4 linked regions of the Anolis sagrei genome follow. The main gene of each other region encodes a partner of the protein of the gene in region 3 in a complex. Links are inferred from orthologs where the notes say so. Each region holds a gene or a part of one and is shown on either strand. Other genes may lie near its edges.

Region 1 (7,888 bases), about 13 Mb from region 3:
ATAAATAAATAAATAGGGGGTGAGGAGGTCCCTCAGGTACTCCTGCCCCAGGCCAAATAAGGTCTTAAAAGTAAGAATCAGCACCTTGAAGGTAATCTGGTGCTCAATCGGCAACCAATGCAGTTGCTGCAAGATTGGAGTGATATGACACCTTGCTGGAACCCCTGTGAGAAGCCGGGCAGCAGCATTTTGCACTAGTTTAAGTTTCCGGATCACTGATAAAGGCAGGCCTATGTAGAGGGCATTACAATAGTCCAATCTTGAGATGACTGTAGCCTGGATCACCGTGGCCAGGTCGTCCCTGGACAGATAGGGAGCCAGACGCCTAGCCTGACACAGATGGAAAAATGCGACTCTGCTCGCAGTGGTGGCCTGGGCCTCCATCGTCAGCAGAGGGTCTAAAAGGACTCCTGAAGAGGACTCAAAGCTGCTTAACATAAAAGCATCTGCTCAGCCATTTAAAATACACAAATATACAAGCATTAAAACAGGATTAAATATAAATAGTATTTTAAAATTCCCAGTTAAAAATCATCATTTAGCCCTTTCTGCAAAGAGTGCTGGTGCAGACAACTCTAATGTTTCTATAGCATTGAGCCAAAGGAGACAAAAATTTTAATTGACCCTAGTGTGCAACAAGAGCAGGTCACAGGGTGTCTAATCATTTTAATGTCCATATGTTTTATATGCTTATTTATCACATTGTGTTATATTAATGTGTGCTACTCTTGAATTTTTATTTATTTATTGATTTACTTCATTTATACCTGGTCTTTCTCACCACACAGGACACAAGTAAAATTCATATGCTCATGCTTATTATGACATGTTTTATCTTGGGTGCTTTAATTTGTTTGATTTGTTATGTGTCTTATTACCATTTATGCTGTTATTTTACTGCAAGCCACTAAGAGTCCCTTTGGGAGATGGGGCGGGATGTAAATAAAGCTTCATTCAAAGTGGTGTCACACTTGCACCAATTTTGCAAGGTGGTAGATGCACCCCGAGTTTCCTTAAAATGTGACCTGAAGTGCAGGATCTGGAGCCCACTTCCTTCTAGAATCACAGAGTTGGATAAGACCACATGGGACAGTCAATCCAACCCCCTGCCAAGAAGGAAAATCGCATTCAAAGCACCCCCGAGAGATGGTCATCCAGCCTCTGTTTAAAAGCCTTCAAAGGAGGAGCCTCCACCACAGACCGAATAAGAGAGTTCCCCTGCTGAACAGCTCTCAGTTTGAAAGTTCTTCCTAATGTTCAGGTGGAATCTCCTTTCCTATAGTTTGAAGCCATGTCCTAGTCTCCAGGGCAGCAGAAAACAAGCTTGCTCTCTCCTCCCTATGACTTCCTCTCACATACTTATACATGGCCATCATGTCACCTCTCAGCCTTCTCTTCTGCAGGCTAAACATGTCCAGAAGCTTATTCTCCAAACCCTTGATAATTTTAGTCGCCCTCTTCTAGACACATTCCAGCTTGTCAACATCTCCCTTCAACTGCGGTGTCCCAAATTGGACACAGTATTCCAGATGTGTTGTGACCAAGGCAGAATACAGGGGTAGCATGACTTCCCTGGATCTAGACCAGGGGTCTTCAAACGAAGCCCCTGGGGCTGGATACGGCCCTCCAAGGTCATTTATCTGGCCATCAATTTGGGTCAACCTAAGTCTGAAATGACTTGAAAGCACACAGCAGCAGCAACAATCCCATGTCATTAGCCAAAAGCAGGGCCACACTTCCCATTGAAATACTAATAAGTTTATATTTGATAAAATTGTTCTTCCTTTTAATTGTTGTATTGTTTTTAAGCGTTTTGCACTACAAATAAGACAAATAAGCCCCGGCTCTAGTTTTACTGTGCCACAGTGTATTGTTTTATTGCTTTGTTGCTATTGCTTTAATTGTTTTGGTTTGCTTATGAGTTGTGTGTATTGCTATGTTATTGTTTTATTGAGGGCCTTGGCCTTTGTAAGCCGCATCGAGTCCTTCGGGAGATGCTAGCGGGGTTAAAATAAACTTAATAATAATAATAAATAATGTGCAGTGTGCATTCATTCATTTTTTCCCTCAAATTATAATCTGGCCCTCCAACAGTTTGAGGGACTGTGACCTGGCCGACACTAGACTCTTATTGATGCAGGCCAAAATCCCACCTGCTTTTTTAGCTGCCACATCACATTTAGCTGCCACATCTATGAAGGATCTGGCTGGATCTACACTACCAAATAACGCAGCTTGGACGGCATGTGGATTCCGCCCTACAGCCTCATTACATTGGAACATGAATTCACTTGAAATTCAGTTTCTGCCTTCTTCGGAATTGTAGTGTTTGTAGTTTAGTGAGGTCCTGCCTGGCTGAGCAGTTTAGAGGTCCCTCCTTAAACTACAAGCCCCAGAATTTTACAAGAGGCAGTAACTGGATTTAAAGGGGATCCATGCTGTGGTGTGATGAGGTCCCAGGATGGTGCTGATTATCCCTGCTGGCCTTCTGAAGGCATGTCTTTGCCAGCAGGCCTTGCCTTGGATGACGTGCTCGGGGGAGATGGTCTTCTTCTCGGACTTGTTGCAGATTTCGTTGGCCTCGGAGGAGACCAGGTGGATGAACTCGGTGCAGCAGTTGACCACCAGCTCCCGGGCGTCGTTGGCCACCCGCACGTTGGGCAGCGTCTCCTTGATCATCTTGTTGATGGCCGCCCGCGGGATGGTCAGGTCGTCGTCGTTCCCGGACGAGGAAGCCATGCTGGGCCAGGGAAGTGCCGCTCGAGGAGCCGGGCGGCGAGGGGAGCCCAGGGGCCCGGCGCCCGCCTCCTCCTTCCTCCTGCTTCTCCTTCTGCTTCGCGTGAGGGCCGAGCCCACAGGCCCCGGAGGCGGCCCCCACTCACTCACTCCTTCCCTCGGCCCGCTCTTCAGTCGCGGCAAGGAACAACAGAGAAGGAGCTCGCGGCGGGCAACCAGCCCAAGCTGCGGCGCCCAACACTTCCGGCGGAAGCGGCCTTTCAAGGCCTACTCTCTTTCCGCTTCCGGTTGGGCCCGGAAGAGGCCGCTCCTCCCCTCCTGCCTAGAAATGCTTCGAAGCGAGGTTCCTCCAGGCCCCGCGGCCCCCCCTAGAGTTCTTAGCCAGTGAAAATGCATCCTGTCTTTGGGCTTCTAAAAATGTCCCTTGTTGAGAGGTTGTCAGCGCCAGCCGGTGAGCTCGCCAGCCTTCCAACGGAGACAAAGAGACTGAGAAAGCGGCTCGCGCATGCGCGGCGGCATCATTCTCGTTCTATTTCACTCTTCTTCCGGTTGGGCACTCTAGGAGTCTTGCAATGGGTTCCAGTGGTTCTCAACCTGTGGGTCCCCAGGTGTTTTGGCCTACAACTCCCAGCAATCCCACTCAGTTTACCAGCTGTTAGGATTTCTGGGAGTTGAAGGCCAAAACGTCAGGGGACCCACAGGTTGAAAACCACTGGTTAAACCCTTGTGCCGGCAGGACTGAAAACTTGACAGGTCGGAGGTTCAAATCCGGGAAGAGCGCGGATGAGCTCCCTCTGTCAGCTCCAGCTCCATGTGGGGACATGAGAGAACTCTCCCATCAAGGATGGTACAACAACAAAAACATCCGGGCATCTCCTGGGCAACGTCCTTGCAGGCAACCAATTCTCTTACACCAGTTTCTCAAGTCGCTCCAGACATACACACAAGATACCTTCTTTCATTCACTGGAACACCGCAGCAAGTGAGAGTCCACAAGTGGCAGGCTAAAACCCAGGGTAATAGTATGAAAGCTGGGTCCGGAAGCTCTGAGCCTTACGCTCTTTCCGCTTCACTCCTTGCGCTGTTTGCTCAACGCAGAATGGAACATAGTTATTATAAAAGGAATGTAAGAATTCTTCAATGGTACAACCCTTACCTGAACCCTTAGCCTAACCCTTAACCCTAATCATAACCCAAATCCTAAACCTTACCCTAAACCTAACTCCTAAGCCTAATTCTAACCCTAATCCTGGATCATGTTTTTAGTTATGAGATGCCAGTGGATGGTTATTGTTGTTAACTGTTTAATGTGTTTATGATGTTAATTGTTTTTATATACCGTGTTGTAGCATTGAATTTTTGCTGTTCTTGTTGTTAACCGCTGTGAGTTGCCTAAGGGCTGAGAACAGCGGTATACAAATAAAGTAAATAAATAAATAATCCGAACCCTACCCTAAACCTTACCCTAATCCTCCCCTCCTTTCTATCCTTCCACCAAACTGAAGTATATTCTCGCCCTCGGTCTGCCACCCTCCCCTTTCCTTATTCACAACCGCCGTTGCGGAATGTGCATAACACTCGGAGCTTCCGGACCCAGCTCTCATACTATCACCAAACCCAGAACCTCAATCCATGGCTGATACCAGACGAGAGACTACCTCCTGGGCACACAGAAGACTGGAAGGTGCTGAATAGACTGTGCTCTGGCACCATGAATTGCAGAGCCAACCTTAAGAAATGGGGCTACAAAGTGGAATGCTGGTGAGGTTGGGGGGGAGGGGTTGATTTTATCATTTGGGAGTTGTAGTTGCTGGAATTTATAGTTCACCTACAATCAAAGAGCATTCAGAACTCCACCAACAATAGAATTGAACCAAACTTGGCAAACCAGGACCAACAGAAAATACTGGAAGGTTCTTGTGGGTTTTTTCGGGCTGTAGGGCCATGTTCTAGAGGCATTTCTCCTGATGTTTCGCCTGCATCTATGGCAAGCATCCTCAGAGGTAGTGAGGTCTGTTGGAATTAGGACAATGGGTTTATATATCTGTGGAATGGCTGGGGTGGGGCAAAGAGCTCTTCTCTGCTGGAGCTAGGTGTGAATGTTTCAACTGACCACCTTCATTAGCATTTGAAGGCCTGGCTGAGCCTGGGAAAATCTTTTGTTGAGAGGTGTTAAGATGTGCCTGGTTGTTTCCTCTCTGCTGTTTTGCTGTTGTAATTTTAGAGTTTTTTAATACTGGTAGCCAGATTTTGTTCATTTTCATGGTCTCTTCCTTTCTGTTGACATTATCGACATGCTTGTGGATTTCAATGGCTTCTCTGTGTAGTCTGACATGGTGGTTGTTGGTGTGGTCCAGCATTTCTGTGTTCTCAAATAATATGCTGTGTCCAGGCTGGTTCATCAGATGCTCTGCTATGGCTGACTTCTCTGGTTGGAGTAGTTTGCAGTGCCTTTCATGTTCCTTGATGCGTGTCTGGGCGCTGCATTTGGTGGTCCCTATGTAGACTTGTCCACAGCTGCATGGTACACGGTAGACTCCTGCAGAGGTGAGAAGATCCCTCTTGTCCTTTGCTGAACATAGCATTTGTTGGATTTTCTTGGTGGGTTTGTAGATTGTTTGTATATTGTGTTTCCTCATCAGCTTCCCTGTGTGGTCCGTGGTTCCCTTGATGTATGGCAGGAACACTTTTCCTCTGGGTGGATCTTCATCTTTACTCTCGTGGCTTGTTCTTGGTATCTGATAGACTTTCAGATGAAAACTGGAGCAAACATTTCCCCTGTTGTCTAGAGCAGGCCTCTTCAACCTGCAGGCCTCCAGCTGTTTGGGCATCCAACTCTCAGAAGCCCTAGTTCAATGTTCAGGAATTCTGGGAGCTGAATTCAAAAACACCTGCAGGGCATCAAACTAAAGAGGCTTACTGTAGTGGTTAAGAGATTCAGATTATCAGAAAAGAGATGGTAACTTAACATCAAGAAGAACTTCCTGGTGGTAAGAACTGTTTGGCAGTGGAAGAGACAACCCATCACTCTATGATGTGTCTGTGAGACATTTTGCTCTCCACCCTGCCTTATTGTATGTCAAAAATAAAAACGTTGATGGAAATGTGGTGCCCCTTGAGCAGTTTTAAGAAAGTTATAATAAAACATTATGCTGTATACTGACATTGTTTATTCCATCCTTACTGACATACACATCCCTCTACTATGTTTCTAAAACAGCAGGCGCACAACAGTTACCACAACAGTTTTATAGAAACAGTGGTCATAAGTATAACACAATTAAAATAGAGGGAAGTTATTGGACACATATGCTTCCCAACCAAAAAATAATGTTTAACAAAATCCGATAGTAAACATTTTCCTGGGGTGTACTAGCTGCTAGGAGAAATTAGTATAGTCAAATGTTTGCCTAAGTGAAAAACACCCCTCTCTTTGACAATATATTTTTCTATGGAATTTCTTTTCAATGGGGAAGCATTCAGGGTACAATTATCCTTCCATAGGTTTTGACATGAGATAGAACAAACCAGGAAAGCCTTAATAATTTAATTCTCTTGCCTTGAGAAGCTGTTATCTCAACCTTCATGAAATTGTCATTGAAGAAGCAAATTAAACTTTATTTTTAAAGACTGCTATTCAATTTACAAGTACTGTACATGAAAATGCTTATTAGAAAAACATTCAAATGGTCCAAGTGACAGATCTGTGTTCATAAATGGAATGAAACTCAGAAAATTATATCTTCTGGTGGTGACAGGGCTTTGCTTAGGAAAGGAGTTAGGAATGTGTGGTCTTTTTGTTATCAAAGGACTTTGGGCCCTTCCAGATAGGCCCTGTATCCCAGGATTTAATCCTATGTTTTCTATTTATCCCAGATTATCTGGCAGTGGGGAATCATATAATTCAGGTTAAAGCAGAAAACCTGGGGTCAGATCCTGGGATATAGGGCCTGTCTGGAAGGGCACTAAGACTCCTGACCTGCCTCACAACTGTCTATGCTGTTAGGGTATTGCAATCCAGCTACATCTAAAGTGCTACATATTTCCCATTCATACTAAGATGCTATAATTTGAAATATAGATTAATTTACAGACACTTCACATTATTTTAGGTTTCCCTCATCCCAGTGACATAGAAAGCAGCAAGTGAAATAGCCCACAGCAACATTTCTTCACTGAGAAGATCTTTCTCCCAAGTCAAAGCTTTTCCTGCTTTTCCATCTCAGCAATTTAATGAAATTAAGACTTGCACTGAAAATTTTATCGTGCTGAAAAACCATTTTGTAGAAGGTCTCAATTGGCAGGTCTCCATTGGGGTCAGCGTACTTCAGCGTTGTAATTGGAGTGTATAAAGTATTGGTCTGATGACGAAAAGGTGGGTTTTCTGACAGAATTATCTTCATTGTATGCTGTTGGGATGATAAACAAGAGAATTAGGAACCATACATTGTATTGCTAACCAGCAGTACAAATGAACATCCCCACATTGTTCCAGATAACAATAAAAGTGTGTGTGTGGGGGGGGGGGGGGGGGGAAGCATGAGATAGCTATTTGCCCTGGTACTGCTTTTCTGATTGCAAGAATGTCATTCACTTTGAGTTTATTGTGAAGCAGAGAGAGAAAACTTTTGCAGCAATTCACTGTTTTAATTGCTGAAAAAACATTTGAAAAGAACACTATGAGACCATTATTTTTTAAGAAGTTGGAGGTTACAATTCTAAATAAATTACGATAATCTTTGAGGATGCTATTACTATTTCTAAGAGAGATAAACCTCCAAACGTATTCCAGCTGTGCTGCAGAGCTAGAGACTTCATAGTTCCCAGCTAGACAAATACCCATGGCTTTGTATTGTTTCTACTTATCATTAAGAATGCTGTAGCACTCTTTGCCCTTACATTTCATTGCATACTTTTAAGACATTACCTCTGCTATGTCTTCAGCAGTTTGCCCCAGTGTCTGGAAAATTTGCTTGTAATTTTTCAGGTAAATATTTACAAACATATCAGCTGTTTCCTTATCTGCAGCCGAAAGATCCATTTTCATTCCATCTTCGAAAACCTTCCTTTCAAACTCTGTAACTACTGGCCCTGGTTCTATTAAAGAAAGACTGGGTATGGGGAAAACCACACACACACAATCATTAATTTT
Region 2 (8,193 bases), on a different chromosome or scaffold from region 3:
TTTTAAATCTCTCATAAAAGGACATTATGTGAATTGATCCCACTGATCCCATTGTACATATGTTGTTCTGAACTAAGAATAAATTACTTGTTCTTTATTGTTCATCTGCGTAGCATATTTTCTTTCTCTAGCAAGGCAGTGTGTGGGCTGATAAAAAAGTGGTTTATTTTACATTCTGCCATAGGTTATGGGCCCAGTCTCATGCCACAGTGCCACATCTGCTTGTGCCAGTGCCACTGCTAGAGTTATTTTAAAAGGACTGTAGTTAAATATTTCTTGATCAGATGTGAACTACACATGGTTTATTTTACATTATGCCACAGAGTTGGCTATTATAATATATCAAATACAAACTGTCATCATATGGGGTCAAATGTAGTCAGTTGTTCAACAGGGAAGATATAGGGCATTCAGTTCAGGGTAGACTATAAGAAACTGTAGCTCTCAAGGATTTGCTTTACTAGATCTTTCAATGTCAGATTTAAAACATTTTAAGTAACATCCTCTCCCCCTTTGCTAAATAAAATAAAGCAACTGCGGGGGGAAGGGGATGGGTGGAGACGGGACCAAGTGGGTCACTGTTTTCACACTTTGTGCTGTTAATATTGGGAAGTAATTTATGTTATTGCAGACAGTAATCAAAGTACCTGTTCAAAATACCAAATTTACTTTTGTATCATCTCCTGATCTCTATCAATGTATTTCTTCATTTATGTAGATAAAGTTTAAAACACATTTCAAGATATATTTCCCTTCTATAAAAACATTTAAAAGTGTATTTTAATGGCATTGATCCAGTTGTTTGTCTGTTTGAAATACAAATAAGAATAAATCACCCTGGCTTTTTGAACATTGGAGGAATTTAAAATAAATCATTTCTTCTGGCTGTTTCTTGCACCTGACTTTCTGGGCTGGATTTTATTTCTTTCCGTCGTATTTTTTTCAATGGCTGCTTCAGTCAGGATAAAAAGCTGAGTCATCTAGTAAAGTGTTGCACATGCTACAGATAAATCTGTACATGCTGCAGAAAAACAACAGCTACTGACAAAAATGTTCTAGTGTCCCTATTTTAAGAACAAACAGGACTAAACCACTTTGGGGTGTCTGAAGTGATCATCAGAAATCAGCCCAAGACATGACTACCATTGAACAGTGACTATCTGCATGGCCTTCCAGATGTTGTTCAACTCAATTCCCAATAGCCACAGCAGCATGTTCACTGGTGATGGCAGTCCTAGTCCAATGTTTGGAAAGCATTAGAATGGATACAGGTTGGGTCCTCCTTATCAAGAATTCCAAAATTTGAAGTAATCTATAACTCTCTATATAGGTGACACTTTTGCTTCCTTTCTCTCTTTTATATATATGTGTGTGTGTATGTTATACAATTTACGAAGACAATAATTTCTCCGTATATGACTTATTTCAAGACTTCTGAAGCTTTTTGCACTCGTGACCTCTTTCCACCTGAGAAATTTTTACATGATCCTGAATAATAAAGGTAAAGGTTTCCTCTGACATTAAGTCTTGTTCAAAGACACCTCCAAGGTCATGTGGCTAGCATGACTGCATGGAGTGACATTACCTTCCCATAAAAGCGGTACCTATTCATCTACTCACATTTGTATGTTTTTGAACTGCTAGGTTGGTAGAAGCTGGGCCTAACAGCAGGAGCTCACTCCGCTCCCCGGATTCAAACTGTCAACCTTTTAGTTAACAAGTTCAGCAGCTCAGCAGTTTAACCCACTGCGCCACCAGGGGGTCCTGAATACATAGTTATAAAAGACAGGTATAAAAACTAAACATTTACTGATAAAACGCTTGCTAAATACGGTGATTTTTCTTTTTGTGGAGTCCAGTGGATGCATTTCTGCAGAGTCACTGCAAACACTGCAGATTTCTGTAAATGGGCAGCCTTCAGAAAACTTTTACTGTTACCAGATTTTTCATGGCCCCAACACTGAGCTAAGGAGACCTCATTTGGGTTCTGGACACAGTTCAAGAAGCAGTGTGGCTTATATTACTGTAAACCTCAATTCAAACTAATTTCACCCACCCTCCTAGCAAAAAACAATGATCAATTAATAAAATTGAAAGATTAAAATGGACTTTTCCACCTCAAAGATACATAATTAAAATACTACTGTTACTGTATTGCATTGTATTATCTTAGACAGATTGTTCATTATATCTTGCTAACTCAGTGTTTTATGACTAATGGAACGGCCCTGGATAATGATTTGGATTGTGTGATTTTAATTATGTTTTAATATTTGATGTTTTAACTGTTTGGATTTTAATATATTCACTTGTTTTATTGATATGTATCTATGTGGCATTGAATTGTTGTCTTTGTAAGGCCGCTCTGAGTCCCCCTTCAGGGTGAGAAGGGCAGGGTACAAATGTAGTAAATAAATATGATAAAAAGTACCTTGGTATGTTTCACATTTTCATCACAAATTGTTAGTGTGCCTGTACATTCTCTTTCCAGCCTGGTTGGAGTCAGGTACCATCCGTACATCATTTCATAGATATTCTATTTCAAGTCAAAACTTGGAATATTTTTACATTCTTTTGACCATATTGCCATCCCACCTCTCCAGCCCAATTTTTTTGCCCATTGAGTCAAACATTTTTCTTTCGTTCTCCCTTTTAATTCTATTTTCACAAACTTTTCAATATACACAGTTTGACACCACTTTAGTGGCATGGCTGGAATCCTGGGAAGAACCAGCACTCTTTGACAGAGAAGGCTCAAGACTGCACCGGGGATTGTGGGCACCGGGGATTGTGGCGCAGCTGGCTGAGTGTCAGCTGCATGAAGATCACTCTGACCAAAAGGTCATGAGTTCAAAGCCAGCCCAGGTTGGAGTGGGTTTCCAACCAATTGTGTAGCCTGTTGTCGACTTTTGCAACCTGAAAGACAGTTGCACCTGTCAAGTAGGAAAATTAGGTACCACCTTAAAGTGTGGGGAGGCTAAATTAACTAATTTATGAGGCCATACAAAAAAGACTCCAGCAAAGCACTCCAGCAAAGAAGCATGCGGGGAATGCGGAAGTGCTTCATCAGCGTCGCAGATGGACAATGAAAGCGACAGCTCCCCTGGCAGCCAGAAAAAGTTAAATAGCCTCTGTCTATGTCTGTATATGTTGTATGTCAAAATTGGCATTGAATGTTTGCCATATGTGTACACTGTAATCCGCCGAGTCCCCTGCGGGGTGAGAAGGGCAGAATATAAATGCTGTAAATAAATAATAAATAAAGTACAACTCTCATGATTCCACGTAGAACAAAAGCTGCTTGCAGCCACTTTAACTGCCATGTCTTAATGCTATGGGGTCCTGGGAGTTCTAGTATTACATGCTCTTTGGCTTTCTTTCGCAAAGAGTGTTGGTGCTTCACCAAACTGCAACTCCCATGATTCCATAGCATTAAGCCATGGCAGTTAAAGTGGAGTCAAAATGCAATAATTCTGCAATGTAGATGCATCTATACAAAGGTGGAAGGGTAATTATCTTATAAAACTGCAAATAACATAATTCCACAGCATTGAGCCATGGCAGCTAAAGTGGAGCCAAAATGCAGTAATTCTGCAATGTAGATGCACCTATAAAAAGGTGGAAGAGCAGGTTAGTTAGCTTATAAAACTGCAATTCCCATTTTTTTTCTCGTGTCAGGGCAGCCAGTCAATTATATTACATTTCTAACAGAACAAAGCAAACAAACAGAGAAAATACAAAATGTGTGAGTTTGGTAGTTGATTAAATGTCCTTTGACCAGTATCTGGCCACTTGGAGTGCTTCTGGTGTTGCTGCAAGAAGGTCCTCCATTGTGCATGTGGCAGGGCTCAGGTTGCATTGCAGCAGGTGGTCAGTGGTTTGCTCCTCTCCGCACTCGCATGTCGAGGATTCCAGTTTGTAGCCCCATTTCTGAAGGTTGGCTCTGCATCTTGTGGTGCCAGAACATCTGTTCAGCACCTTCCAAGTTGCCCAGTTCTCTGTGTGTCCAGGGGGGAGTCTCTCATTTGGTATCAGCCATTGGTTGAGGTTCTTGGTTTAAGCCTGCCACTTTTAGACTCTCACTTGCTGAGGCGTTCCAGCAAGTGTCTCTGTAGATCTTAGAAAACTATGTCTGGATTTAAGTCGTTGACATGCTGGCTGATACCCAAACAGGGGATGAGCTGGAGATGTCTCTGCCTTGGTCCTTTCACTATTGGCTGCCACTTCCCGGCGGATGTCAGGTGGTGCGATACCGGCTAGACAATGTAATTTCTCCAGTGGTGTAGGGTGCAGACACCCCATGATAATGCGGCATGTCTCATTAAGAGCCACATCCACTGTTTTAGTGTGGTGAGATGTGTTCCACACTGGGCATGCATACTCAGCAGCGGAGTAGCACAGCGCAAGGGCAGATGTCTTCACTGTATCTGGTTGTGATCCCCAGGTTGTGCCAGTGCCCACTTTTTGCTTGATGTTCAGGCAGTGCTTCTTGTAGGTAAGAGCACGGTCCAGAGTGACTCCCAGGTATTTGGGTGCGCTGCAATGCTCCAGTGGGATTCCTTCCCAGGTGATCTTCAGAGCTCAGGATGCTTCTCTGTTCTTGAGATAAAAGGCACATGTCTGTGTTTTAGATGGCAATTCCCATGACTCCATAGCATTGAGCCTTTGCAGTTAAAGAGGAGTAAAATGCAATCATTCTGCAGTGTAGATGCACCCATAAAAAGTGAAAGAGAAGGCTGATTAGCTTATAAAACTGCAACTCCCATGATTCCATAGCACTGAGCCATGGCAGTTAAAAGTGGCATCCAAGTACAAGCCTGCTGCAGCGTAGAGCACCCAACTTCCCTTGCGCATGCGCGTTCCAGGAGCCAGGGCCTTTAGAACCTTCCTAAATCCTCAAGCCATTCCACGCTGGCCGTCAATCTTGAGCCTGGAGGGGGCGGAGCAAAGGGCGGGCTCTTGGAACGGAGGGAGCGCTGTCGTCATCGACGCGCGACCACGTCCAAGGGGGCGAGGTATGGCGAGGGTTGCCTTGGCGCTGAGCGGCTGTCATGGCGTCCACCGGGGAAGGGAGCTGCTCTGGTGAAGCCGAGGCCTCCGCCCGGGCGGGGAACTCCTCCGAAGAGGCGCTCCGAGAGATCCTGAGGGACTCCCTGCGTGTGCTGCTTCGGCTGGCAGAGGAGGTGAGTGGGCCGAGGGGAGCCGTGAGAGAACAGGCGGCGGAAAGGGGAACCGGGCTGGAAGTTGAGGTGGGGAAGGGGAGAAGCGGGCTTTGGTTGGCGAGGGAGTTTAACAGGCCCCATTCTAAAGGTGCCCCAGACCCTCTTTGCTTGATTTGCAAAATTCTGGCTAGTATTTCGAGTGCTTTTTTCCCACAATTTCACTGGATATCCCAGGCAGGGGCCAACTTGGGCCCTCCGGGTGTTTTGGACTTCAACTCCCACAATTCCTAACAGCCAGTAGGCTGTTAGGAATTGTGGGAGTTGAAGTCCAAAACACCCGGAGGGCCCAAGTTGGCCCCTGCCTGGGATATACACTGCCATATAATGCAGTTTGCGCATTACATTAAAGGACATCAACATTATAGAATGATTGCAGTGTGACACTACTTAAACCAATCATGGCTCAATGCTATGGAATCATGAGAGAAGTAGTTTCAAAGGTCTTCAGCCATCTCTGCCAAAGAGTGCTGTGACCTCATGAAATTACAACTCCCATCAAGCCAGGGCGGTTAAAGCGATGTCAAATGCATTAATTCTATAATGTAGATGGCCCCAAGGGCCTCCTGATGGTGCAGCAGTTTAACCACCAAGCTGCTGAACTCGCTGACCGAAAGCTTGCTGGTTTGAATATGGGGAGTGGGGTGAGCTCCTGTTGTTAGGCCCAGCTTCTGCCAACCTAGCAGTTCGAAAACATGCAAATGTGAGTAGATGAATAGGTACTGCTTTGGTGGGAAGGTAATGGCCTTCCTTGCAGTCATGCCGGCCACATGTCTTAGGAGGCATCTACAGACAGCATTTCTAAGCTCTTCGGATTAGAAATGGAGATGAGCACCACACCCCAGTCAGACACGACTAGACTTAATGTCAAGGGAAAATCTTTATCTTTACCTTTTTTGGATGGCCCCATTTGTACAGTTTCAAGCCAGTATTGAAGACACTGGTTTCAGCTGTGCTGATGCTTACATAGAAAATTTTGGAACCAATTTGAGGCCTGGATAGTGATTGCACAAACCACTGGTGCACATTAAGGGCTTTCTTTCACACACTTTTGCAGTAGCTTGTGGTCTGAGACTAGCCTCAAACTACATTAAATTGCCAGCATAGTTTGTTTTTCAAGGGTGGCTGTTGCCATGTGCATTCAAGCAATTTCTGGCCAAATGAGACTGTTAGGCAGTGATTCTCGACCTGTGGGTCCCCAGGTGTTTTGGCCTACAACTCCCAGAAATCCCAGCCAGTTTACCAGCTGTTATGATTTCTGGGAGTTGAAGGCCAAAACATCTGGGGACCCACAGTTTGAGATCCACTGCCCTATCACACAGTTTTCTTGACACAATTTGTTCAGGAGAGGTTTGTCCTTGTCTTCCTCTGAGTCAGAGAGTGTACGACTTGCCCATGGTTGTCCAGTGGGTTCATGACTATGTAAATTCAGAATTATCTTAATTCTAAGTTGCATCCTTCCTATCTTGCTCCATTCAATGGAGTTTTGAGCTCTAGTTTTGTGTATACATAAGAAATTACATCTGTCTCCCTGGACATACTTCATCATTTTGCAGAAGTGACCAGTCTTGCACCCTAACTGTGCTAGAAAGAAAACTCTGAAGTTTCACAAGGCATCTGATAGGAATAAGGAATGTGGATCATTGGAAGTAGAAATTGTACAAAAATGGGAAATACAAACCTTGTGATAAAAGCTTGAGTATCCCATTGTCTGAAATGCTTAGGACCAGAGGTGTTCTGTATTTCAGATTTTATCTGGAGTTTTCAATACTACCATATTCATAATGAGATATCTTGGAGATGAGATCCAAGTCTTAACACAAAATTCATTGTTGTTTTGTATATATCTTACACAAATAGTCTGAAAGTAATTTTATGTACCATATAAAAATGTTCTTGAAGCAAACGTTGGTGTATATTAAACCATCAAAGTCAGGGTGTCACTATATCAGCCATCCATGTGGACAGTTTGGGATTTTGGAATACTTCAGGTAGGGGATGCTCATCCTGTAAATGGTGTGAGGAAACTAATGTCAATAGGAATTTTCAGTGCAATAATTACATAACGTTTTACTCAGGAAATTACCATCTAAGAAATCAGATGGAATGCATAATAAATTGTAATATAGTAAAAGCAATCAGGAAATATAATTTAAAGTTAGACCAAGTAATTTCATGGAATAACTATGAAAATAATTTTAATCCAAGTTTATGCTCCCAATTCTGTTGGTAGAAAATAAAAAATCAATGCAATCTATGCAGGCTTTCAGGAATAAATCAATCAGACATATTGATCATGGGTGATTGAATCTCAGTGGGAAGAAAAAGAGGAGAACCAAGCATTTTTGGCCTAGAATAAAAAATGAAGCAGGAGAGGGACTGATGAAATTTTGTGAAGGCATCGGGCTTTTGTTGTTACAAAGACATTATTTAGGCATTTGAAAAGATTTATACATGTACATTATTGTATGACTAATACTGAATTAAAAATGTATAATTGGAAGGAGAAAATGGAGAGGCTCAATTCTTTCTCCAAAAACAATACTAGGAACAGATTGTGACACAGGCCATGAACTGCTAATATCAAAAATTAGAGAAAACGTAATAAAATGCATTAAATCAATTGTAATCTATATATATAAATCTGTTAGGTTGGTTCAACGGGACAGCAAAACTCCACAACCCCCCAACGGAACTTAACCAAAATTCCCATGCCCATAACACAACCCACAAGGTACAAACATATCTACTCAAAATGAAAAACAACACAACAACACACTCACAAAACGGCAAAACAACAAAACTCAAAAAAACCCCAACGAAACTTAACCAAAATTCCCATGCCCATAACACAACCCACAAGGTACAAACGTATCTACTCAAAATGAAAAACAACACAACAACACACTCACAAAACGGCAAAACAACAAAACTCAAAAAACCCCAACGAAACTTAACCAAAATTCCCATGCCC
Region 3 (7,267 bases):
TATCCCAAATTATCTGGGACTTATATAATCCACTTTAATGCAGATCCTGGGATATAGGGCCTGCCTGGAGGGCCCTGAGTCCACAGTGCCATATAATCCAGTTCAATGTGGATTTTATACAGCTGTGTGGAAGGGGCCCTAGTGTAATCAGAAAGACATCTGGTGCCTTTGCTTTGCCATAAAGGTAAAGAAGATAATTTTTCCAATCCAGCAACATTGACTAGGCATCCTAGTCACATATGAGAGTGCAGCAAGGAGCCAAACAAACAAACCAAGCTGGAATGTGTCCAGAGGAGGGCGACTAAAATGATCAAGGGTCTGGAGAACAAGCCCTATGAGGAGCGGCTTAAAGAACTGGGCATGTTTAACCTGAAGAAGAGAAGGCTGAGAGGAGATATGATGGCCATGTATAAATATATGAAATGATGTTATAAGAAAGGGGGAGCAGGCTTGTTTTCTGTTGCCCTAGAGACTAGGACGTGGAACAATGGCTTCAAACTACAAGAAAGGAGATTCCATGTGAACATTAGGAAGAACTTCCTGACTGTGAGAGCTGTTCAGCAGTGGAACTCTCTGCCCCAGAGTGTGGTGGAGGGTCCTTCTTTGGATGCTTTTAAACATAGGCTGGATGGCCATCTGTGTGTGTGTGTGCTTTGAATGCAATTTTCCTGCTTCTTGGCAGGGGGTTGGACTGGATGGCCCATGAGGTCTCTTCCAATTCTATATTCTACTAGCCATCCCCTGCCATGCATTGCTGTGACCCACATGGGGGTTCTGGGTGGGAGGTTTGGCCCAATTCTATCATTGGTGGAGTTCATAATGTTTTTTGATTGTAGGTGAACTATAAATCCCACCAACTACAACTCCCAAAAGTCAAGGCTCTATTTTCCCCAAACTCCACCAGTGTTCACATTTGGACATATTGAGTATTTGTGTAGAGTTTGGTCCAGATCCATCATTGTTTGAGTCCACAGTGATCTTTGGATGTAGGTGAACTACAACTCCAAAACCAAAGGACACTGCCCACCAAACCCTTGCAGTATTTTCTATTGGTCATGGGAGAACTGTGTGCCAAGTTTGGTTCAATTCAATTGTTGGTGGAGTTCAGAATGCTCTTTGATTGTAGGTGAACTATAAATCCCAGCAACTGCAATTCCCAAATGTCAAAGTCTATTTTCCCCAAACTCCACCAGTGTTCATATTTGGGCATATTGAATATTTGTGCCAAGTTTGGTCCATATCCATCACTGAGTGCACCATGCTCTCTGGATGTAGGTGAACTACAACTCCAAAACTCAAGGCAATGCCCACCAAACCCTTTCAGTATTTTCTGTTGGTCATGGAAGTTATGTGTGCCAAGTTTGGATCTATTCCATCGTTGGTGGGGTTCAGAATGCTCTTTGATTGTAGGTGAACTACAAATCCCAGCAACTACAACTCCCAAATGACAAAATCAGTTTTTTTGAGTGAAAGACATACATTGGGTTGTTAGATGTCTTGTGTCCAAATTTGGTGTCAATTCGTCCAGTGGTTTTTGAGTTCTGTTAATCCCACAAACGAACAATACATTTTTATTTATATAGAGAAGAAGATAAGACGATCCTAAGTTTCTCTTCTCAGCACTTGTTTAAAAAAGAGCAGTGTAGAAGCCCCGCCCCTCAGAAACGGGGAGGGGAGCAAAGGGAGGGAGCAATCTTACTCGGCGCCCTGCAAGCATGCGCATTAGGGGGCGCGCGGAAGCACGCATGCGCAGATGAGCCGCCATGTCGACGGCCTCCAAAGTGGTGCTGGGGGCCTCGCTGCTGCTCTCCGGCGGGGTCGTGGCGGGCGTCCACCTCCAGCAGAGGCGCCTGCAAGAGGTAACGGCGCGCGGTTTCCCTAGTGACGTCATCCCCAAAGGTGCTAGAAGCCTTTTTTCCGCCTCGCGCGCGGCGGAAGTGCTTGCTTCCCTGAGAAGAGACTTTGAGAGGCCTCTGTAGAGGGCCCAGCCTTGCCTCCCTTCCTTTGGCGCTGTATTGGCATGGCACCCTTTTCAAAACCATAGCTTCCACATGAAGTAACACCAGAATTAGAAGAATGCCAGAACTTCAATGTGTTTTGGAAGGGAGAGTAGATAGAATAGAGTCTCTGAATAGATAGAGAGTCTCTGAATTCCTCTCACTTCCACTAGATCAGTGGTTCTCAACCTGGGGTCCCCAGATGTTTTTGGCCTACAACTCCCAGAAATCCCAGCCAGTTTACCAGCTGTTAGGATTTCTGGGAGTTGAAGGCCAAAAACATCTGGGGACCCCAGGTTGAGAACCACTGCACTAGATTATGAGGCAAGAATATAGCATTAAGTAGAAGCAAACCACTAGAGGAGTGGTTCCCAACCTTTGGTCCTCCCAGTGTTTTGGACTTCAGCTCCCACAATTCCTAACAGGAGCAGTGGATTAAACCCCTGTGCTGGCAGGACTGAAGACCAACAGGTCGCAGGTTCAAATCCGGGGAGAGGAGGGTGAGCTCCCTCTATCAGCTCCAGCTCCTCATGTCGGGACATGAGAGAAGCCTCCCACAAGGATGATAAAAACATCAAATCATCTGGGCGTCCCCTGGGCAACGTCCTTGCAGACGGCCAATTCTCTCACACCAGAAGCGACTTGCAGTCTCTCAAGTCGCTCCTGACACGACAAAAAGAAAAATTCCTAACAGCTGCTAAAATGGCTGGGATTTCTAGCAGTTGAAGTCCATAACACCTGGAGGATTAAAGGTCGGGAACCACTTGCACTAGAGAGCTGCTTGGCATCATTTACTACCAAGTCGGAAATGACAAAGGCCCCTTCTAAAATGCTGATGGCGAGTTCGCCCTAGACCCCTGCTTTCCAGCTGATCTGACCATATCATCCAGTTCAAAGCAGATAATTTGGATTTTTTATCTCTCCAAATAATTTTTATTAAACACTAGCTGTACCCGCCACATGTTGCTGTGGCCAACCTTCCCTCCTTTCTCTCCTCCTTCCTTTCTCTTCCCCCTTCCTTTTTCCCTCCTTCCTTCCCTTTTTTTCTTTCATTCTCTCCTTCCATCTCTTCCCTTCCTCCCCCCTTTTCTTTCCCTTCCTCTTTCTCCCCTTTCTTCCTTCTCTACCTATTCTTGGACTACAACTCCCAGCAGTCCTCCTGTTCAATCTATCTACCTACCCATCTTATCCATCTCCATCTACTCAGTCTACCTTATCTATCTGGATTATTGCTGGGAGTGGCAGTCCAGGAATAGGAAATTGGAAATATGCAGGGATTGGGATGCTCTCAAAGAAATCCAAGGAGAAGAAAGCTTTCAGCTTGGAAGCAGTGCATTTGGATCATCCTCCTCTCCTAAAGGGCCTGGTCTAGGGGATGCTGGGAGTTGTAGTCCGGAAGAGAGTGTGGATATGCTTTTATGTGTTTTGTTTTCCAGGGGGAGTCGTTTTGCGCATGCGCTGTAGTGTCTTTTTGCTTCTTTTGGCTTTAAAGTCCCTTCCGCTGTGTTTTTCAGTGTTTTTATGAGTGATGGTCACTTGTTGGCCTAATAGGTGTATTGTGTCCAAATTTTGTGTCAATTCGTTCAGTGGTTTTTGAGTTGTGTTAATTCCACAAACAAACTTTACATTTTTATTTATATAGATTTACTAGATTAGATTGTTTTTACAAATAATAATGATTCTTGGATAGTTTTCTCTGTTTAATTTGTAAATTGTTTATATACTTATTAGTATAACATAAATTATTGTTTGGCTGCAGGGCAGTTAGCAACACTTGAAAACTTATGTTAGTTGCTAGGAAAAAGATAGCTCAGTCTAATTTTTGTTTTTCAACACAACTTGAGAAGTTTCACTGTGGGGCGTTCTTTCCAATATCATTTTTCCTGTGAAGTAAAAATGATCATATCCTTCTTTCAGAGGCTACGCGAAGGAGTGTTGAGAGACTTTGAGAGACAGAATCATAAACAAGAATATATTAACCTTTTGGAGGAACGTTCTGCCTTGATCCAACAACGTGAAATGGAAAGCAAAATTCAAGTGCTCAAAAAATGCTAACAGTGACGGAGAAGAATTGAAATTGAAATTTCCTGGTCCTTTCAGTAATTGCATAGGTTTCTTGATGGTTGAGATAATCTTCATATGTCTAATGCTATTAGCAGAGGAAGCTTCTAGCATACCAAAAAAATCCTCTTTTAAGAAACAATGGATAATAGTATGTACATAAGTGAAATGATGAGTTGTCATGATGATGAAGCAACAAGGACGTCCCCTTCAGAAGGACTGGAAGAAGGGGAAGTGGAAGGGGAGACTCTTCTCATAGTGGAATCTGAAGATCAGGCATCAGTGGATTTGAGTCATGATCAGAGTGGAGATTCTGTGAATAGTGATGAAGGGGAAACATCCTGGTCAGAGGAGCTGTCCTATTATTGCGAAAGATGCCAGAAATGGATAGCTGCAAGTAAGAATCCCTTATATTTAATTTTTGTGGTTTTCAGAACTCCAGGTTTATTCCCTTTTTGTCTGTCTGCCTGTCTCTCTCTCTCTGTATTTATGTGTATGAAAATGATGTATGTGTTTCTCTGTCATTTGAAATACAGTCCATCTAGAATATATGGTTTATGGTTAAACCTTCATTGTTTAATGAGAGTAACAACTATGCAAATGGATTCGTACAAATAAAATTAAAATGCTGAACAAATTACGTCTGCTGTGGATGGTTTTTCCCCTCTCCTCCAGGATATATGCTAAGCTGCTACAAGTTTTGGGCATCATTGCTGTCTTGCTCTGTTTGCTGATAAGAGAAAACCGACTGCTTAGGCTTTAACTGTTGAGCAGTTATGATCATAGTCATTATGAAGTTAAATTCCTTGAAGCCCCACATTCAAATCTAAGGTGGTTCTTTCTGTATGCAGAGACTGGTCTGTTATTGCTCTCAGCTGTAGTATTTGCACTGTGTAGGATCTTATTCTAGAAATTCATCTGTGTCCCTATCCACACTGACAAGTTAATGCAGTTCAAAACTAGCTAGACAACAAATGGCCATGAAAGCTAGCAAAAGAAAGCCCTTAATGCATATCAGTGCTCTATGGTTTGTGTAATCACCATCTGAGCCTCAAACTGATTCCAGGATTTTCTATGTAATCATCTGCAGAGCAAAGCCACTTTTTTGATACCAGTTTGAAACTGCATTAAATGGCTTTTGTAGGTGGGGTCCTAGATTCATGGAGTGGTGGTATCTGCTGTGTAAAGAGAAGCTAGAAAAACTCCAGCATGCACCATGATTTTTTTGGACGTTGATTGCTGATTCTAAATAAGCCTCATAATCAGTACAATATAAATAGTGACACAGTTTGTTTCAGTACCAGGCAAGAAATCCTTCTACAGGTTTCTGTCTTTGAACGCCTTGTTTTCTGATATGTTGCTCTTTCAAGGCTTGCAAAATTACACACAAGTTCCAGTAATTTGATGACAGGTCCACTGTTCTATCACATCTTGTCTATGAGGTTAACTTGGGACTGCTCATATATATGTTACACTATACTGTACTGAGGAGCCCCTGGTGGCACACTGGGTTAAAGTGTGAGCTGCTGAGCTTGTTGACTGAAAGGTCGCAGGTTCGATTCCTGGGAGCGGCGTGAGCTTCCGCTTTCAGCTCCAGCTTCTGCCAACCTAGCAGTTCGAAAACATGCAAATGTTAGTAGATCAATAGGTACCACTCTGGCGAGAAGGTTACGGCGCTCCATGCAGTCATGCTAGCCACATGACCTAGGAGGTATCTATGGACAACACTGGCTCTTTGGCTTACAAATGGAGATGATCACCACACCCAAGAGTCGGACACAACTGGACTTAATGTCAAGGGAAAAAAATGCTGCAGTCAGAATGCACTTGTAAGCTACCCCCCCCCCCTCCCCCGGGTTCCACTTCCCAACCAATTCCACTTTCTGACAGTGTTGTGGTCCTTAGACTATCAAATAAGTGAAAGCCTCCTGTACTAATTATCTGTTGATTCCCTGTCATTTGTTTAGTTACATACTGGTATGTAACTAAACAAATAATAAAAGTCATGAAGCTTATGGATTATGATCTGATTTTTCTAAAAATATCTAGCCTTATATATTTTCAGGGTGTTCAATAGTATTTCAGTCAGTATTTCTTACAGTTCAGCAAAAAAAGGTTAAAGTGTTCAGATTTTCAAAAGGCAACCTGCTTAGAGTCAGTATTTCTGTCAATCTTTTAATGCTAATAAATTGAAATGTAATTAAAGCATAAATTATTCAGTCTCGTTAGTTTCTCTTAAGGAGCAACATATCTAGTAAGAACCTTCTTACTGAAGTCAGGGGATCTCCACTCTGATAGAATGCAATGTGCAGTTTTACAGTTTATGACAAACCTGAAGCCTTTCCTTGCTTGTTTATAGGTCAGGTGAGAGAACAGATCACCCATCTCAAAGGTGATAACTTTTTCAAGTTTACTTGCTCTGATTGCGCTGAAGATGGGAAGGAGCAGTTTGAACGGCTAAAACTAACATGGCAGCAAGTAAGTAGCAAACAAGCAGTAATGGAGTAAGAAGGTTTCAAATTTCTGTGTAATGATATACACTGGGGATCTTTTGTTTGTTTAGTGAGATTCTAGTGATTTTGTTAAACCTATGCTAACTTTTTGATGCAAAGGCAAAAAGAAGTGATTTTTGAGCTAGAGCAGTTCAAAACTCATTACAAATATAATCCTTTCTTAACATTAAAAGACACAGCTATGAACATGGAAAGTGGCATTATGCCTTGTAGCCCAGTGGTTCTCAGCCTGTGTTTTGGCCTTCAACTCCCAGAAATCCTAACAGCTGGTAAACTGGCTGGGATTTCTGGAAGTTGTAGGCCAAAACATCTGGGGACCCACAGGTTGAGAACCACTGTTGTAGCCCCATGTTCCTTCAAACACTCTTGTGCCTATATAATGAACCATGCTGGTTGTACACATTATGTTAGCAAGCACTCGGTTTAATCCAGAATTGACTACCTTCTTCATTTTTAATAATGATAAGAAATAATAATAATAATAATAATAAAACTTTATTTATTGACCGCCCTCTCTTCCCGAAGGGATTCAGCGCGGATCACAAGAAATAACAAAAGTGGCAAACATTCAATGCTAGAAAACAAATAAACAAAATTCAAGGCAAAACATACAAGAAAATAAACTCAGTGTAACTTATAAACAATCAAACCAAGGATTAAAATACATAAACTTCATAAACACAAGATGTCGACCAA
Region 4 (7,673 bases), on a different chromosome or scaffold from region 3:
AAGTATCATTTCCATGGCCATAAATATATGAATAGACAAATACACGTTGTTTAATAATAATAATAATAATAATAATAATAATAGATATCCTTATTTCTTGTTATTTGCCTATACTTCTCTACTATGGCAAGCTTTAACACATAAAATTCCATAATTACAAACTGATAGGATTATTTATTTATAGTATTTATATTCTTCCTGTCTCAGGGTGGATCACATTGAGCAGTTTCACCAGAGATCTATCTCTTTCCTACCCTAAACTATGCACTTTATTTCTGGCCCACGAATTGATTACTTGACATTTCTAAGGGTATCTCCTGCCTCAGTTCCTTTTAATCCGCACTTTCCACTGGCCCCAATCGGAAGTTATTGCATGAAAATGAGCCTGATCCCAGGCACATTTTAAGGCTGTTATCTCAGCCTTATTCTTTTAAGATGTTGTTTTGATTGTGTTTATGTCTTTGATTGTTTTAATGCTCCCTCACTGACAATGGACCTGGATGAAATTTGGCACACAGAACCCCCATGACCTAAGAAAAATAGTGGAGATTTTGAGGAGAATTCACCTTGATTTAGAACTGTAGTAGGTACTGGGATTTATAGTTCACCTGCAATCAAAGAGCACTCCAGACATCAGCAACAATGGCCCTGGACCTAACTTGGGACACAGAACCCACATGGCCAACAAAAAATGCATGAGGGTTTTGGGGGGAATTCATCTTAATTTATAGGAATTATAGTTCACCTACATCCAGAGAGCACTGTCAACGCAAACAACAATGAATCTGGACCAAACTTGGCATGCATACCCAATATGCCAAAATTTGAATACTGGTGAATTTGGGGTGGAATTGTCCTGGACATTTGTTAGTTGTAGGTTTGGGATTTATAGTTCACCTGCAATCAAAGGGCAATCTGCACCCCACCAATGATGGACCTGGACTTAACTTAGCACACAGAACCCACATGAGCAAAAAATACTAGAGGTCTTTGGGAAAATTCACTTTGATTTAAGGGAGTTGTAGTTCACCTACATCCAGAGAGCACTGTGAACCCAAACACCAATGGATCTGGACCAAACTTGGTACATGTACCTGATATGCCGAAATTTTATTACTAGAGGGGTTTGGGGGGAACTGACTCTTTCTTTCTGGGAGTTGTAGTTTACTCATAACCAGAGAAATAGTCATCTCCACTGATGATGGACATGGACCCAACTTGACACACAGAATTGGAGGGGTTTGTGGGGACTGATTAGCCATAGCGTGGGCTATGCCTCCCTTGTAAGATGCCCCGACTCCCTTCGGGGAGATGGTAGCGGAGTATAAAAATACAGTTGTTATTGTATTGTCGAAGGCTTTCATAGTTGGAATCACTAGGTTCTTGTGGGTTTTTTTGGGCTATATGGCCATGTTCTAGAGGCATTTTTCCTGACGTTTCGCCTGCATCTATGGCAAGCATCCTCAGAGGTTATTATTATTATTATTATTATTATTATTATTATTATTTACTCCTATCTCAAGAATGGGAAACATGGCCATACAGCCCCAACAACCTAGAACATGGCCATACAGCCCAAAAAACCTACAATAACCCAGTGATTCCAGCCATGAAAGCCTTTGACAATAAGGGAAACGTAAGGTTGGTGGACGGGAAAAGAGATTTAAAGATGGGCTTAAAGCCAACCTTTAAAGTTGTAGCATAGACACCGAGAACTGGGATGTCCTGGCCCTTGAGCACTCTAATTGGAGGTCAGCTGTGACCAGCAGTGCTGCAGAATTCGAAAAGGCACGAATTATTATTATAAACTTACTATTATGTATAATTATATGTGTCCTATATGTACAATTATATATGTCCTAAATGTACAAAAGAGTAAAAGGGAGAAACGTGCCAAGAGGAAGGCGTGTCAAGCCAACCCCGATCGGGACCACCTTCCACCTGGAAACCGATGTCCTCACTGCAGGAGAACATGCAGGTCAAGAATAAGGCTCCAGAGTCACCTACGGATTCACTACCAGGACATGATGCTTGAGGGGCCATCATACTCAGACAACTAATGATTGCCTAAATAAGTAAGTATTACTACTACGACTACTAAAATTCTAGATGGGACCCATAGGAGGACCATCATACTCGGGCTACGAGGGATTGCCTAACAACAACAACAACAACAACATATGTTTAACATATTCGTATTATATTACAATATTATAACAATAGTATTATATTGTATTACTATAGGTATTATAGTATATAATGTAATATCATTATCAATATCTTATGTATATACAATATATATTATTAGCCCAGCACTATATCAATATTATATATGTAGTATATGTACAATTATATATGTACCATAGATATCAGTATTATATATATATATACTATATGTACAATTATATATGTCCTATATGTACAATATCAGTATTATAAATGTCCTATATGTACAATTATATATACCCTATATGTACAATAACAGTATTACATATGTACTATATATATATCCTATATTTTAAATTATATACATGCTATATGTACATAATCAGTATTATATGTGTACTATATGTACAATTATATATGTACTTTATATACAATTATATATGTATTATATGTACAATATTAGTATTATAAACTTACTATTATGTATAATTATGTGTCCTATATGTACAATTATATATGTCCTATATGTACAAAATCAGTATTATATATGTACAATATATACAATTATATATGTCCTGCATGTACAATATCAGTATTATATATGTCCTATATGTACAATTATATATGTCCTATAATTATATATGTACTATATGTACAATATCAGTATTATATATGTCCTATATGTGCAATTATATATGTCCTATATGTACAATATCAGTATTATATATGTCCTATAAGTACAATTATATGTCCTATAAGTACAATTATATATGTACAATATATATACAATATCAGTATTATATATGTCCTATATGTACAATATCAGTATTATATATGTTCTATAAGTACAATTATATATGTCCTATAAGTACAATTATATATGTCCTATATGTACAATATCAGTATTATATATGTCCTATAAGTACAATTATATATGTCCTATATGTACAATATCAGTAATATATACGTCCTATAAGTACAATTATATGTCCTATAAGTACAATTATATATGTACAATATATATACAATATCAGTATTATATATGTCCTATATGTACAATATCAGTATTATATATGTTCTATAAGTACAATTATATATGTCCTATAAGTACAATTATATATGTCCTATATGTACAATATCAGTATTATATATGTCCTATAAGTACAATTATATATGTCCTATATGTACAATATCAGTATTATATATGTCCTATAAGTACAATTATATGTCCTATAAGTACAATTATATATGTACAATATATATACAATATCGGTATTATATATGTCCTATATGTACAATATCAGTATTATATATGTTCTATAAGTACAAATATATATGTCCTATAAGTACAATTATATATGTCCTATATGTACAATATCAGTATTATATATGTCCTATATGTGCAATTATATATGTCCTATATGTACAATATCAGTATTATATATGTCCTATAAGTACAATTATATATGTCCTATATGTACAATGGAGCCCCCGGTGGCGCAGTGGGTTAAAGCACTGAGCTGCTGTGCTTGTTGATCGAAAGGTCGCAGGTTCGATTCCGGGGAGCGGCATGAGCTTCCGCTGGCATGCCCTAGCTTCTGCCAACCTAGCAGTTCGAAAACATGCAAATGTGAGTAGATCAATAGGTACCGCTCCGGTGGGAAGGTAAGGGTGCTCCATGCAGTCATGCCAGTGGCCACATGACCTTGGAGGTGTCTATGGACAACGCTGGCTCTTCGGCTTAGAAATGGAGATGAGCACCAGAGTCCCAGAGTCGGACATGACTGGACTGTCAGAGGAAAACCTTTACCTTTTTATATGTACAATATCAGTATTATATATGTACTATATGTACAATGAGTATTATATAGGTACTATGTGTTTTACTATACCTCTATACTGCTGTATTATTAGTAATATTACGCATAATAGACAATTATTATCTTATTATATACTATTATATTGTACTGTGTTAGTAAACCACAATTCCTATAAGACACTACAAGTGTACTATTAGTATTATAGAATATATTGTACTATATCATGAGCTGTAGCATATATAATCTATTACAACATTATTCATATTATATACAACATTATTAGTAGTACATTACAATGTTATTACAATTCTGAGGAGAAATCTGTGGTCCAAGTTTCCCTCACGTTTGTTTTGGTCTTGAGGCGTGGAACACGTGACTAAGGCCAAGCCAGGCACCAACTCGAGAGCGCATGCGCAGTTTGAACAACACTAGAATCCTACGCTTTTAGGAGGAGGCAGCGCGCATGCGCAGAAGGCGGGAAAGAAGTAAAAAGGAAAGGAAGGGCCATAAGGAAGGAAGCCTGCCCTTGTTGGAGACTCAAGCTATTCGGCGGTAAGAGGAAAAGCCCAAGAAAGGTCGAGAGATAAAGGGGAAGTAATAATAACAATAATAATGGGTTGTTGTAGGTTTTTTCTGGCTATATGGCCATGTTCTAGAAGCATTCTCTCCTGACGTTTCGCCTGCATCTATGGCAAGCATAGAATCAAAGAGTTGGAAGAGACCTCATGGGCCATCCAGTCCAACCCCCTGCCAAGAAGCATCCTTAGAGGTAGTGAGGTCTGTTGGAAGTAGGAAAAAGGGTTTGGAATGACCAGGGTGGGACAAAGGACTCTTGTCTGCTGGAGCTAGGTGTGAATGTTTCAGCTGACCACCTTGAATGGCATATAATGGCCATGTTAGAGACTGGGAATATAGGGTGACAGGCCCAGAAGCAGAGAGGAGATGAGATTCCGATGGGGTTTTTCAACAAGGCTTTTATTTCAAGTTGATCAACATGAGATGAATAGCCTTTGACCATTCCCGGTCAAAGAACAAAAACTATTCACCCTTTGTGGCGCACTTAACAATGTTTTTAAAATCAAACTTGTAAGAACAACACGCAAGCAACTTCTGATTGGTTGTACTGTTTCTAACATCACAGCATGAGCTGTGACTTATCTATCTGCAAGTTGATTATCCAAGGCAGAAAGAATTTGTGGGAGTAAAGGAGTGCATCTGCTTGTGTCTGACTGAACAAGGAACACAGAGAATAATTATTCTTTCTCTATCAGCAGCCCTTGGCAAGCAAGGTTTTCTCTATAGACAAAGATTCTGGGACTTGTAATAATTGGAAATTTATTTTTCTTAATCATGTTCCTATAGCCTGACAGTGACTGGAGCAAACTTTTGTTGAGAGGTGATTAGATGTCCTTGATTGTTTCCTCTCTGTTGTTGTGCTGTTGTAATTTTAGAGTTTTTTAATACTGGTAGCCAGATTTTGTTCATTTTCATGGTCTCCTCCTTTCTGTTGAAATTGTCCACATGCTTGTGGATTTCAATGGCTTCTCTGTGTAGTCTGGCATGGTGGTTGTGAGAGTGGTCCAGCATTTCTGTGTTCTCAAATAATATGCTGTGTCCAGGTTGGTTCATCAGGTGCTCTGCTATGGCTGACTTCTCTGGCTGAAGTAGTCTGCAGTGCCTTTCATGTTCCTTGATGCGTGTCTGGGCAATGCTGCATTTGGTGGTCCCTATGTAGACTTGTCCACAGCTGCATGGTATACGGTAGACTCCTGCAGAGGTGAGAGGATCCCTCTTTATTATTATTATTATTATTATTATTAAACTTTATTTGTACCCCGCTAGCATCTCCCGAAGGACTCGATGCAGCTTACAAAGGCCAAGGCCTCAACACAACAACAACAAACAATAACAATACAATGCAAGCAAATTAAAACATAAGCAATAACACAACAAAACATTACACTATTACACAATAAAATCAGGGCCGGGCCAATGATGGGTACAGGTTAAAAATGTGCTGGGTGTAAGAGGTGATATGTTGGGATTCTGGGCAAGTGCAATGTGCAGAGAGTCTTAAGCTCTAATAAAGTGCTTCTGGGACGTAGTGCTGGAGCTTATACTATTCAGGAAAGGCACATCGGAATAGCCAGGTCTTCAAGTTCTTCCTAAAGACTGCCAACGTGGGTGCTAGTCTAATGTCTTTGGGGAGGGTGTTCCAAAGTCGGGAGGCAACCACAGAGAAGGCCCTGTCCCTCGTCCCCACCAAACGCGCCTGCGACGCAGGTGGGATTGCGAGCAAGGCCTCTCCGGATGAATGAAGTGAGCGCGTGGGTTCGTAAACGGAGATGCGGTCACGCAGGTAGGCAGGTCCCAAACCGTTTGGGGATTTGTAGGTAAGCACCTGCACCTTGAATTGGGCTCGGTAAGTAAATGGCAGCCAATGGAGCTCCTTAAACAGGAGGGTTGACCTATCTCTGTAAGGAGCACGAGTTAACATCCTGGCCACCGCCCGTTGGACCAGTTGGAATTTCCAAGCCGTTTTCAAGGGCAGCCCCACGTAGAGCGCATTACAGTAATCCAATCGAGAGGTGACCAAGGCATGGACCACCCCAGCCAAATCAACCTTGTCCTTTGCTGAACGTAGCATTTGTTGGATTTTCTTGGTGGGTCTGTAGATCGTTTGTATGTTGTATCAGCTTCCCTATGCGGTCAGTGGTTCCCTTGACGTATGGTAGGAACACTTTTCCTCTGGGTGGATCTTCGTCTTGACTCTCGTGGCTTGTTCCAGCTCTTCTGATGTGTCAGGTGGAGTCTCCATTGGCCTGTAGAGCCCAGTTTAGGTGGTTCAGTTCATCTTGAAGAAGTTGACAGAATCAATTTTTTTTGAGTGAAAAACATACATTGGGTTGTTAGGTGTCTTGTGTCCAAATTTGGTGTCAATTCGTCCAGTGGTTTTTGAGTTCTGTTAATCCCACAAACGAACATTACATTTTTATTTATATAGATGCCTTATTGATCTTTTGGAACACTACTTGCTTTCATGAACTTTTATCTTTTATTTTTCCATAAACTACAAAGACTTCCATCTGTGTGCAGTTTTGATGATTTCAGCAAGGTGAATCTACCATCCTCTGACCATCCTAAATCCTTGCTAACCCCAGTCACCATGAATCAAGCGGACGTTCAGCAGTTGCAGCAACAGATTCAAGCGCTACAGGCACAAATCGCTGCTTTAAGCCCTGTAGCAAAGATCCCGATGGCAATGCCGAACAAGTTCTCCGGGGAAGCCCAGCGGGTAAAAGACTTCGTGGGACAATGTGACGCCTTCATCAAGGTGCGAGTGGCAGAATTCCCCAATGAAGCAGCGAAAGTGGCTTTCATCTACAGCCTGCTTGAAGGGCCTGCGCTGGCTTTGGCTACGGCATTGCGTGAGGCCAACGCTCCCGTGCTGGCCACCGCTAAGGAATTCATGGAACATTTGCGGTACACCTGGGGGGGCCGAGTGGCCAAGGAGACAGCTGCAGCTGGGCTCGGCTCATCCCAGGATCGAAGCTGCAGAAAAGTCGAGGCGGCAGACCGCAGGTTGCGGGCTCTGTCGCAGAAGGAGGGCCGGTTGGCCCAATACATTTCGGAGTTCCGCGCTTTGGCGCAGAAGCTCGCTTGGAACGATGCTGCCTTTATCAGTCA

What was found.
Region 1: KAT14 (region 3) and DR1 share a complex: the UniProt entries of both Homo sapiens proteins name them as parts of the ADA2A-containing complex. The link is inferred for Anolis sagrei from reciprocal best matches to the Homo sapiens genes KAT14 and DR1.
Region 2: KAT14 (region 3) and MBIP share a complex: the UniProt entries of both Homo sapiens proteins name them as parts of the ADA2A-containing complex. The link is inferred for Anolis sagrei from reciprocal best matches to the Homo sapiens genes KAT14 and MBIP.
Region 4: KAT14 (region 3) and TADA2A share a complex: the UniProt entries of both Homo sapiens proteins name them as parts of the ADA2A-containing complex. The link is inferred for Anolis sagrei from reciprocal best matches to the Homo sapiens genes KAT14 and TADA2A.

Annotation. Positions count from the first base shown.
Region 1 is NC_090024.1:145,862,278-145,870,165, reverse strand, and holds the start of DR1 (protein Dr1), read right to left. Parts: upstream 3,256-7,888; 5' UTR 2,740-3,255; coding exon 2,520-2,739; intron 1-2,519. Other genes in the region: FNBP1L (formin-binding protein 1-like), read right to left, coding at 7,664-7,847. UniProt on the Homo sapiens protein: The association of the DR1/DRAP1 heterodimer with TBP results in a functional repression of both activated and basal transcription of class II genes.
Region 2 is NC_090021.1:301,829,420-301,837,612, reverse strand, and holds the start of MBIP (MAP3K12-binding inhibitory protein 1), read left to right. Parts: upstream 1-4,968; 5' UTR 4,969-5,051; coding exon 5,052-5,183; intron 5,184-8,193. UniProt on the Homo sapiens protein: Inhibits the MAP3K12 activity to induce the activation of the JNK/SAPK pathway. Component of the ATAC complex, a complex with histone acetyltransferase activity on histones H3 and H4.
Region 3 is NC_090024.1:133,210,593-133,217,859, forward strand, and holds the start of KAT14 (cysteine-rich protein 2-binding protein), read left to right. Parts: upstream 1-4,199; coding exon 4,200-4,455; intron 4,456-6,417; coding exon 6,418-6,536; intron 6,537-7,267. Other genes in the region: protein PET117 homolog, mitochondrial, read left to right, coding at 1,764-1,859, 3,915-4,052. UniProt on the Homo sapiens protein: Component of the ATAC complex, a complex with histone acetyltransferase activity on histones H3 and H4. May function as a scaffold for the ATAC complex to promote ATAC complex stability. Has also weak histone acetyltransferase activity toward histone H4.
Region 4 is NC_090031.1:23,921,688-23,929,360, forward strand, and holds the start of TADA2A (transcriptional adapter 2-alpha), read left to right. Parts: upstream 1-4,469; 5' UTR 4,470-4,538; intron 4,539-7,673. UniProt on the Homo sapiens protein: Component of the ATAC complex, a complex with histone acetyltransferase activity on histones H3 and H4. Required for the function of some acidic activation domains, which activate transcription from a distant site. Binds double-stranded DNA.